2 linked regions of the Drosophila melanogaster genome follow. The gene in region 1 interacts genetically with each later gene. Each region holds a gene or a part of one and is shown in the gene's direction. Other genes may lie near its edges.

Region 1 (5,029 bases):
CAGTTAATTAAAAGTATTTATGACACTGCGCACATAAAATGTCTTCCAAAGTACAAAAGTCCACCCAAGGATCGTGGGAAGTTCCCGCTTGCGCTCTTCTATCTGGTAGGCGAAAAAAAAAAACCATCTTGCAGAAAATGGTTGAAAAAAAATCAAGCATAGAGATACTCTAATTGCATATGTGTTGGGCAAGGGATGGGAAGGGGGAAGGGGCAGGCGCAGGGGCCAAAGTTCTTCCTCTCTTTCTGCGTCCGTGAGGGGTGATTCTCGCCCCTCTTCTTCATATTCGTATTCTCATTCTTCTTCTTCTTCTTCTTGTCTGCCGGTCTGGCTTATGGGAAATGTGAAAAAAATCACACTCACGGATCTGTGAGTGTCCTCGCCTCAGCAACCCACCCAAGAGAAACCCAAAGGATAACAGCCTCGAATCCAAAAAAAAAAACTGCCTAAAAAGTTAATAGAAATCGAAAACTGGAAAGGAGATTACATTTCTGGTAGGAGGGGGGGGGGATGTTTCTCAGTTACTGGGCTTGGGATTATGGGAATGGGAAACACTGCGCAGATCGCCTGGCAAGTTGTACTGATTTGCGAGATACATTTGTGCACACAAAACCAGGAATGCAAATGGCAGCGGGCATGAGTTGTAAATATTTAATCAGATTGTTGTTAGAAAAAGTGACATGGTAGCGATTTTGGGATATTTATGAGTACAAACTTTGCATTATTCCAGAATGTATGAGTATTGTTTGTTTAGTAGAAAGTGCTTTTGCACTAAAGTAGATTAATAGTGGAATAACAAATAATATAAGAATGGAAAGTCAAATGTTTGAGCAGGTTTCTTTAATCAGGTCAGTTGCTCAGCAAATAGGTGAATTTTTACACTTCAGTTAGTATTTACTTAATTAAATACTAACTTTTCTCTATAAAGTTGCAAATCTTTAAGGTATATTATATGATTAAGCTGTGAGCTGTGAGATGAGCATACTTGGCTTTAATCTCAGGCATAATTTTTATGATACGTAGAAATTAATAGATTTGTGTGCGACAGTGTCGAGTTATGCGATAGACCCATTTAATGCCTATTTCCGGCCTTAAAAAGTGTACCCCTTGTTGATGGGGCGCTGAAAATCGGCAACGCTGCTGTGCTGCTGCAACTACAACAATGTCGTCACTGCAACGCAATGCAACACTTGGCACACAACTGATAAAGATAAAGAAGATGGTGAAGCGGTTGGTTGAGCGGGAGGGGAAAGGTTCTCTGCCGGCGTCGCTGTTGATGTGGGTGCGGTAACAGCGACGTCGCCACTTCCGTCTGAGCGATTTTTAGCCGATTTGTAGCCGGCAAGCCGAAGAGAGCGAAAAGGGTTGGGGGCCAAAAGCAAAAGCCGCTCTCACCGAACATTCGAGTCTGGCTTCCACATGCCACATGTGAAGAGTAGGAAGCGGCGCCACTCACATTCCACCCTCTTGCGCTTTCGCTTTCCGCCCCCTTCTCCACATTCGTTCTCTCTCGTGCTCAGCTGTTGCCGCTAATTCGCTGCAATTAGCGTGGTTCTCTTAGCTTCAAGCATTAGTTTTTATATCAACAGAATTTTAAAATTAAAAACTTCAAATAAAACTTGGACCAAAGATTTAATTAAAAGCTGATATTAGGTAAAATAATGTAGCATTTAAAAAACAATTCAGGAAGTGATTAACAGCGCTGTTATAGGTATTTAACTTCGCTTATAAATAATTATATTTTTCTTTTAACACTCAAATGTATTTATTCATTGCAAAATATTAATAACCCAAAATATTCGTTCCCTTTTGAATTGACAACCTATCGTAATATCGAATAGCTATCGTTTGATCAGTTTTGTCTCCACTCAATTTACGATCCACTCTCTTCTGCTCTCACTCTCTCGTGCCGCGAGCGCTCAGCTGCTGACGCCTCAAATTCGCCGCTACAAGAGACGCCGTGCGTTTTGTGGCTCGTTGCTTGTTCTGTCGATTCGCCGCGTTCAGTGTTGTTGTCGCGTCGTGACGCTGCTGTTGCCGCTGCCGCCCCCACACACATGTGCGAGCAGAAAACACGTTACGAGGGGAAAATCGACGGAAAAATCCGAAAAAAAATAGAAAAGCTAACTGAAAAGAGTACAAGACTGAGGTATTGATAAGTTAATGTGGTTTAATACACTAATTAAGCGTAAGTGGCCGGTATTAAAAGTGCCATTACGGTGGTGCTTACGTTTTCTCCGTCTGACGTAAGACGACTCCCTCTCTCGCTCTCTCTCTCTATCTCGTGTCTCTCCGATTCTCTTTCTCCGCGTGTGGATTGCGTTTTGCCGGCGACGGCGACTCCAAAAAAGACACGGCACAACACACTTTGTGGCCCAAGTTCAGTTCGCTTTTCGTCGCCAGTCCGCAAAAATGTGAAAATGGAAAACTGAGAGAAAAACCAAAAAGCCGCAAAAGACTGCCTCTGCAAGTAAAAGATTCAAGTCGCTGAGTAGCAATAGCAAATGCTCTAAAAAATCAAGAATAAAATAAAATAAAAGTGCGGGCGTGTAACAATTATGTGATATCTACAACAAATGCTCGAACTGCTGACGTCACGCACAGAATCGTAGAATATATAGAGAATAAAGAAGAGAAACGAAAACGTCGCGTAGTAAAGTTAAAAGTTCCCACACCACCGACGTACTCACACTCGCACACACACAGACTGAGTCAAACGAGTAAGAAGCAGCAGCACATTATACGTGGAATACAAAAAGTAACCGACAGAAAAGGCAAAACGCCCGCAAAAAAATGAAAAATTTGCAAATATGAAACGTGTGTGATATTCAAAAAGAGCAAGAAGAAGCAGGCGGCGGTGGAAAAAAAAGCAGAGCAATTTGTTGTGGTTGCGTGTGATATATAGAAAGCAAGTAAAACCAACAAAAATTCCATTTTTAGGTGCGTATTCAAACAAGACAAAAAAAAAGAAGCAAAGGGAGTTTCCACCTCACCTTTGATGATCAATTAATCATTCAATTTTGGGCTAAGCCCTCTAATAACCTCCAAAACCGATACGGTGAATAGCAGTCATTCGCTCACTCATTCAATCCCCCAACGCTCCAGTTTTCAGAGATAACGAATCGAAAATTCGGAGTCCATCAGTTTTTATTTCTATTTGCCCAAAGTCGGCGGCGATTTCTTTATGGCGCCCCCCAGATTAACATTTTACTAGATGTTAAGACAACAGTGCAGGTAACAGTTTGAAGAACTCGTGGTTTTTCTTCGAAGATATGGACAAAAATACATTTCAAGTTAAAATTAATTGTGTAAAACCGTCCAGCACAATATTAGCCAACTAACTGGCGTTTTTGTGTTGACGTGGATACTGAGGAATGCAAAATTAAAGCTGCACTGCAGTCATAAATATCAACTGAAATGTTCAATAGACATGTAATAATTAGGTAATGTGTTTGTTTTACAAATTAAAGTGATCTAAATGTTTTAAAATCTCAGATCATTTGTCTCTTTAATATTTTCTGTGGTCTTGAATTTGCCGGTTACTTCTACCAGTTTCGTCGGGTTAATTGGACTTGCATCAACAGTTTTCCGCTTTAATCTGTGCATGTACTTGACGACTGCACCACATAGTGTGTACATTATGTGTGGCCCCTGTTATCAGGCCTTGTGAGTACACAATATTCGATTGGCTCTAAATGCGTCATCGCGTAAATGGCCAGGCGAAATGAAGTTTTGTACATTATGTACAAAATTTTGGTGTATGAAACGCAAAGGGGACTTCCCTGGAATTCATTCTGCTTTCCTTGCCGGCATTGATATTCCACACCCACGCAATAATTTTTCCTTTCCCGGGCTTTCATTATGTTTGCAGTTTTCTGTGGGCGAAATATTTTGCGACGCATTTTGTGCGCCTCTCCCTGGACAAAAAGCCGCCTTCTCTTTTACTCGTTCTCTTTTTCTTGACTTGGCCAGTTGGCAATTATTTTTGGCTTTCTCAAACGAAAAAAGCTAAGGCGAGGCTTACAGCCGTTTTATTTTATATTACTATTACCTTATTTCATTTCTGTAAGTGTGCAATTAAGTGGCTGCCTTCTGTCTCGGTCCTTGCGGTTCATAAGAAAGAAGCCAAGTGTGTGTAATTGACCAAATGAAATAAAGATGATAGAGAAAATAAAACCGGCTAGAAAAAAGCATCCATGGGACCAACAACAACAAAAAGATGAAGAGAGATGTTCCATGTGGATTGTGTCTGTGAGTAACAGCTGTTATTCGGATTCAGGCCGGCTTTTACTCTCAGTCTCTTTTCCCTAGCAGCATCCCCCTCCAACACACACACACACCGTGGGAGACTCTCTCTTTCTCTCTCTGGACTGCCGCTTAATACACAAAATTCGTGTTCTTCCTCTTTTTCTGGCTTTTGATTCACTTTTTTCCCTCTATTGCAATTGTTGTTGCTTAACACCTTGCACACTCGCACATTATTTATTTGTATTTATTTCACTTGTCCCTGCCTTTTTACTGCGCATGCAAAATGATGTGCAAAAAGAAAGCGAAACTTTTTATTAGCTCTTGGTATCTGTGTGGGTGTTAGTGAGCATGCATGTACATACATATGTATGTTTTCGTGTGCTTGTGCTTATGCCTGTGTGTGCGTGAGTCTGCATACATAACAACGTATATAATTAATAGCCATGTAAATGCATGATCTTCATAATTAATAACGGTAAATTGGCATGCCAGAGGAATACAGTTATGGCTGCAAATTAAATACCAGCCATTAGTTGCATTCGAATTGGGATTTTAGCTAATATTTTATTAATTAGTGAATTGAGATTTCATGTCTGCAATTGGGCATATTTATTATTCGGGGGCAGACTAAATTTAAGTTATAAAGAGTAAAGATCCGTTAATTTAACAATCTTCACTACACCTTGCGGCCGGTTATTGTTGCTATACTAATTCGAAATTAACACGGAGAACGTGAGAGCAGAGTAGTGGCAGTGAAAAGGTGAAGGGAGGGGAGGCGGCA
Region 2 (6,901 bases), on another chromosome or scaffold:
TAAATTTTATATTTAGAAATGAAATGCTCTGCATCTTTTAATGCCCTCTGCGACGTGGGAACGCCGCGTCCGAACTTGCAGCGGTTAATTCCCTATGTCGAGCCGCAACAGGACGACGAGGAGGATATGGTAGTGTGGTGCCGGTCAAATCTGGATTTGGCCTGCTCGCTCAGCGAGATGCGCATACGCTGTCCAGAGCACTTCGATGTCGCAACCGTCGTGGGGGTAAATTCGCATACCGGAAAACTAATCACCCACTTTAATCACCGGAAACTGGGGGATGTGGACCTGGCGCCTCACGCGTTGCTTAGCCGGCGAGACAAGTTCATGGACATTTGCCAGAAACAAGTAATGACGAGTCAGGGCTGCTTGGCGTCAGAGGGAACACCAATCCCCGCCGACCTGGAGGTCACTTGGCAGAGTCATAGCATCATTGACTGCCTTGCTCTCCGCAAGGTGCGTGCAGAGATGAATTTAGCTGATCAGAAGGCGGCCAAGAATCTTGTGGATCGCGTTGAGGTGCACCACAAGACTTTGCAGACGGAGGAGGCGGAGCGAAGGAAATTGATTATTGACAAGGCAAATTCTGCGAGGAACTTGACTATTGACAAGGCAAACTCTGCGAGGATCTTGGCTATTGACAAGGCAACCTCCGCTAGGAAATTGACTATTGACAACTCAACCTCCGCGGGGACATTGACTATAGACAAGGCAACCAACGCGAGGAAATTGACTATTGACAAGGGAACCTCCGCGAGGAAATTGACTATTGACAAGGCAACCTCCGCGAGGAAATTGACTATTGACAAGGCAACCTCCGCGAGGAAAATGACTATTGACAAGGCAAAATCCACGAGGAACTTGACCATTGACAATGCAACCTCCGCGAGGAAATTGACTATTGAGAAGGCAACCTCCGCGAGGAAAATGACTATTGACAAGGCAAAATCCACGAGGAACTTGACCATTGACAATGCAACCTCCGCGAGGAAATTGACTATTGAGAAGGCAACCTCCGCGAGACGTTTCTCTAGACCAAAAAGATATGTCAGCGGGTATATTTCCAAAAGAAAATCGATCGGAAAAACGGAGTCTTTGTCGCGCGGTGCATACATCCCCGATCCTGAGCTCAACCGCGCGATAGCCAAGTACGGTGTGTCTGCTAGTCAACCGTTCAAAAGACAGCATTGCCTTGTGCTGGAGAAGCATCCCGACAGAACCCAGATCCCGAACTCCAGAACCAACACCAGTGGCTGTAAGTCCGACGGCTCTTCAACACCCATTTGGAGAAGTGCTAGAACTGGTGCGGATCAGAATACGCAGGCAGAGAGTTCTGACTCTTTCAATTCCTCCAATTCCTTCGAGAGCTCCAGTCTGGCCAGCGATTCTCAAGAAAACCACGAGCTGTCCACGGCGGCAGGTCTGACGGCGGCCTTTATGCGGCGACACATGCTATTCCACCTCCTGGCCAGGAGGTTCAGAAGACGGTATCTACGTTAGCCACGTCGTAGCTCGGGTCGTATGTGCTGCGACAGCAAGTTCTCTAAATTGTATAGTGTATATGTATGTATGTTAGTAGCTGAATCGCGAAGAATTCCCGCGAATTTCCATAAAGTTCAAAGCAGTATTTAAATTTGCGGCTATCGATTACAACTAGCTATATCGCCGATGTGCAATGCTCTTGAACGCTAACCAACACTGTCAGTTTACCGCACACATGCAAATAGCATTGTGCATTGCAAATAAATTATATGTGTACACATATTTTTGTCAATTATTTCGTTCTAATTCATTTTAGGGTCCCCCAATTTAGGTATGTATGCAACACGACATACTGCTTGCAGTCACTGCATAACTCGCCAAGCACTGTAGTAATACCACCCCACCACGTTTAAACTGGCCGAATGCGCGCGTCGGTGTGACCGCATGGCTTTGCTGGCGAAATACCGGCCGCCCAACTAAAAATCCATTAACTTGTATTAACGTGTCAGACTCTGACTATGCAATCGCAATTGCAAAATCTTTAAGTAGTGGCAATAAATTAGTTTTCCTTCTGCACAAGTCCATCCCTAGGGCCACATCGTCCGCGCAGCCCTAGAAGTGGATAGTTCGAACGCGGAGTGGATCACACGCACCTGCCCGCCGCAACTAGTCAAGTTTCCCGCGTTTTCCATGGCGATTAAGTTGTGAAATAGTTATTTTGTTAATGTGTTTTAACCAACAACCGTGGCCGTGGTGTGGTCCTGGCTAATCGCAGCATCCCAGCGCTGTTTGTTCTGTCCCCTCGCCTGCTCTTTTGTTGTGTTCCTCAGAAAAGGGTGTATCGCGAACACACACACACGCGACAAACACTCGCACACAAACACACACGCCCAAATCATTTCGGCGGGAAACTTCATTATTTCTGTAATTAAGTGTAAGCTCTCGCAGTTACATGTCCGCGAGGAGCGCGGCGGCAAGCGCAGCATACACCGGCAGCCACTAGGCGCCAGGCCACTAGACGTAAACAGCGGCGCCAGGCCCGCAACGCCCCGGTTAGCCGGCTAGCTCCAATTCAGGCGCCTCCGTCTCCGATTTCCGACTCCAGGCTGTCGCCAGAAGCAGCGGCCGCCGCTGCAAGCATACGCAATCAGCCGGGACAGAGACATCATTCGCAGACATGAGCGAGCCTGACCCGCAGGAACTGGGAGCTGAGGTGGTCAGCGGATTGGTGGCGACCAGCGACGACCGCCTGGAGATGATCAACGCCGAGTACACGAACCTATGCCGGGATCTAAACATGGATCGGCAGACAGAGCTGCAGGGCTACGAGACGTACTTAGAGGTGTCCCAGAGGTGCTCCATGGAGGTGAGCTTCGAAGTGGCAGCAGTAGCCTCCAACCTAACGTCCTTTCTTTCATTCTTTCTGTGCATTGCCTGCCTAAAAGGGCACAGCCAGCCACTGGATGTGCTGCGCCATTTACACGGCCTGCCGAAGAACCAGCACACCCACGGTGACTGGCCAGAATGCAGTGGTCAAGGGTAATTGTGTGTCCTTAAACAATTTGCTGCGCTGCTGCAAGATGAGGTGGGTTGCCGTTTATGCCTGCAGTTTCACACCTAACCATTTCCACAATCCCCACCCACAGCATCTACGAGTTCAAGACCAAAATTAAGCAGTGGTGCGACATGGCCAACCTGCCTCAGGAGTTTGTCAACGAGATTGAGGATCTGGACCGCAAGTTCAGCATTACATTCATGCTGCACAAGCGTTTCCGCATTATTATGGACATGATCTTCTCGTGCCCGCCCAACGAGAAGAAGCACTCCAAGTACATGTGCGTATATCATCATGTCAGCCTGACCCCGTGTATATAAAAAGCTTCCCTCTTTGGAACAGTTCTCTGCATGGCAACCACGCCCACGGAAAGTGCTCGTACATCAAGCTGGACGACATCTGCTGGCGCCTGTTTCTCTGCGCCAAGAACCAGAAGCCGAGCAACACCGTGGACCTGGTGACATCCTACAATCTGATGATTTGCTGCATAGACCTGATATACAACAATGTGCTGGCCGAGAAGCGCACCGATCTCATCAACCCCAAATTCGAGGGCCTGCCGAGCAACTGGACGGAGCTGGACTTTCGTCACAATCCGCACTGCATTTTGTCCAACTTCTGTGACATGACCGAGGAGGCTAAAGCCATGAAGGCCACCACTTTCCGCCAGATCATGTCGAGCTTCTTTCAGGCTTCGGTAGGAGTGCCGTTTCGGATTTCCATTAAAACAATTAATTTGTTCTATTTTCATTTCGACCAGACCATCTACGGCAACAAGGACACTATGTTAGGCCTATTGGCTAACGAAAACTTCGAGCGCAACCTAAAGTCCCTCAACATCAGCTACGAGCAGTACGTCCTCAGCGTCGGCGAATTCGACGAACGCATTCTGAGTGCCTACGATGCGGGGGAACACACTGCCCTCAACGACCAGTCCCTGCGTCCGCCGGTTACTCCGCTTACCCGCAAGCAAGATCTGCCTGCGCAGCCCGCGATGGCTGGCGATAAATTTGAGCCCGTCCGCAACGCCACTAACAACGTGAAGCAGCTGAGCGCCTTCGGACGGATCACAGAACCCACGGACTTTGTCAAGTGAGTTGCCGGCTGGCCTTGTATTTGGGTTGGGTGTCGAGTGTTCCTAACTATCATTCAAAACCTGTGAGAGAGAAAAGGCTTATCTCTATGTCCAAATGGCTGAAAGTCGTTGGCGTCGTGTAAACAAAACTCATGTTTATTTGATTGCTTTATAAATCGTAGGAAATATCGAATATCGAATTTCGTTAGCCGAAGCACACATCCATAGAAATTTCTGTTGATGTAAGAAGAATCGATTAGATTAAATCCGGGATTGATTTCTATAGCTCATGTTTTGATATCGCCCTGTCTTTATCCAGGCAAGCTGGCGAAGAGGTAATAGCCAAGCTGCTTAGCATCATCGAGGAGATCGAGCAGAAATTCCTCGCCAAGTACCCGTCAACGGAGGCGAAGAGTCGCTTCCAACTAGCGAAGTCCTTCTTCTTCTACCTGCTCGACCAGATCCTGCAGGCGGAAATTCGGAACAAGCCCGACATCGATCTCAAGCGACTGCTGGTGCAGAAGGTCTCCCTGGTCATCTTTAACATCACGCTGATGGCCTGCTGCGTGGAGCTGGTGCTGGAGGCCTACAAAACGGAGCTCAAGTTCCCGTGGGTGCTCGACTGTTTCAGTATTAGCGCGTTCGAGTTCCAAAAGATCATCGAGATCGTGGTGCGGCACGGCTCGCACGAAGGCTGTTTGAACCGGTCGCTGATAAAGCACCTTAACTCCATCGAGGAGACGTGTCTGGAGCGGCTGGCCTGGGCGAGGAACTCGACCGTCTGGGAAATGATCGCCTCCGCCCAACTGCCGTTGCCCACGTGGCTCATGGTTAACCTCGACCGCGCCGCCGGCCCCTTGCAGATATTCCTGCGCAAGGTGTACCTGCTTGGCTGGTTGCGCATCCAGAAGCTGTGCTCGGAGCTGTCACTGTGCGAGAAGACGCCCGAGAGCATCTGGCACATCTTTGAGCACTCGATCACCCACGAGACGGAATTGATGAAGGACCGCCACCTCGATCAAAATATTATGTGTGCAATATATATCTACATAAGAGTGAGTAGCACATCCACATTCTATCTCTGTCCGATTCGCTGGCATACATTTTGAAATGCACATAATCAGATGCATTCGTCCGTGTGCAGCTGAAGACCCACTTATAACATCCATGCAACTCCTTACAACCCGCAGGTAAAGCGAATGGAGGACCCCAAGTTCAGTGACATTATGCGGGCATATCGCAACCAGCCGCAGGCGGTGAACAGCGTCTACCGCGAGGTGTTCATCGACATCAACGAGGACGGGGAGCCAAAGGTGAAGGACATCATTCACTTTTACAACCACACTTACGTGCCGCTGATGCGGCAGTTCGTCATCGACTACCTAAACGTAACTCCGGACGTGAGTGGCCGGGCTTCGGATCTACAGCTCTCCCCGCATCCGAAGGAACGGGCCGCCCAGCCCAAGAAGGTAACCCAGAGCCACTCGCTGTTCGTGTCGCAGATGTCCAAGAACGAGATACAGCAGTCGCCCAACCAGATGGTCTACAGTTTTTGCCGCAGCCCCGCCAAGGTAAATATTTCGGAGTTGCGTCCACCTCCTCAGCTATAACATCGATTAATCCGCTTGCTATACCCGCAGGACCTTCAGGCTATGAACGAAAAGGTACGCGGCGGCAAGCGCATGCTGAGCTTTGGCGACGAGCCCGGACTAGGTACAATGGCAGAGACGAAGCGCTCGAAAATCAGCCAGGTCAAGGCCGTCATGGACGACCCTGAACTGCAGTCAGCCGAGCAGCAGACTGCTGTTACCACGGAAGGTTGCGTAGGGGGCGAAGGAGGAGAACACGAGACATAGACACGGGGCTTATGGGGGCAGACTAGACTTAAGGCAAGAACTAAAAATTCGGCGCAGAAGGCCACACACTGGCCCCTCCGGCGCACGTTCGACTATTTTATGATTGTTTTTTTTTAAATATTAAAACTTAAATTGACATTTTAACTTAATTTCAACAAACTATTTTAGCACATCTTTTAATTTTGCTCAACGCCAGCCAACCATATAATTCATATGCTAACCCAATACTTTGAAATAGTTGTACTAAATACTTGATCACCACACACACACACATCCATCGGTCGCGACTCCCCGCGATTTAAAAATCACTAACAAAAAAACAAATCAAATTAATGCAATCCACATTATATATAAAAGCTTATATACAAATATACTTTTTACAAATTGATGTTAATTGTATTTATTTAAACATTTTCGTAGTCGATCTACGTCGTCGTACAAAGGATGGGATGTTTAAAATCGTAATTTCTCTGGTCGAAATTGCCACCTTTACAAGTTTCAGGCACCAGGCGAACAGAAACAGTAACAGGTGCTAGCTGGCCGCTCAAATTAACTAAAACAGCTGATCCTTTTCAAGATGGCTGCGCCTTACGCTTTTCCAGTCAGCCCATTCGACCAATAGGAAGCCAAAGATGGGGAGAAACCGTTAGTTACTTTATGATGTCTGCCCTATGTGGCAATTTTTGTTTGCCTGGTGTTCAGCCACTGAGAATTCACAAATTTTTGACAAAATTTACGACGGGGCAACATTTTTCGCAGACAACTGTCGGGTCCCAGACACTAGGCCAACAGAATCCCTAGCAAGCTGCAGCTGGCAGCCCTTTCGATCTTTCCAGTTACCAATTGACCAATAGGAAAGCAGCACAACCGTTAATTCGGAACAGAGCGCACACCAGTGATGAGCAGCCGAGTTGTTCTTGATGTTCGTGTCAC

What was found. Genes that interact genetically often act in the same process or in processes that back each other up.
Region 2: of E2f1 (region 1) and Rbf, changing one suppresses a phenotype caused by changing the other (phenotypic suppression), as found in Drosophila melanogaster (5 studies listed by BioGRID).

What each region holds. Positions count from the first base shown.
Region 1 is NT_033777.3:21,630,044-21,635,072, reverse strand, and holds the start of E2f1 (E2F transcription factor 1), read left to right. Parts: upstream 1-1,999; 5' UTR 2,000-2,149; exon of another isoform or gene 2,150-2,940; intron 2,941-5,029. UniProt on the Drosophila melanogaster protein: Transcriptional activator that binds to E2f sites. Required for wild-type growth in mitotic and polytene tissues, Contributes to the expression of replication genes at the G1-S transition and Cyclin E.
Region 2 is NC_004354.4:796,544-803,444, reverse strand, and holds Rbf (Retinoblastoma-family protein), read left to right. Parts: upstream 1-1,965; 5' UTR 1,966-2,659; coding exon 2,660-2,848; intron 2,849-2,927; coding exon 2,928-3,067; intron 3,068-3,128; coding exon 3,129-3,317; intron 3,318-3,379; coding exon 3,380-3,734; intron 3,735-3,797; coding exon 3,798-4,129; intron 4,130-4,431; coding exon 4,432-5,167; intron 5,168-5,302; coding exon 5,303-5,683; intron 5,684-5,752; coding exon 5,753-5,968; 3' UTR 5,969-6,355; downstream 6,356-6,901. Other genes in the region: CG13359 (uncharacterized protein), read left to right, coding at 19-1,500.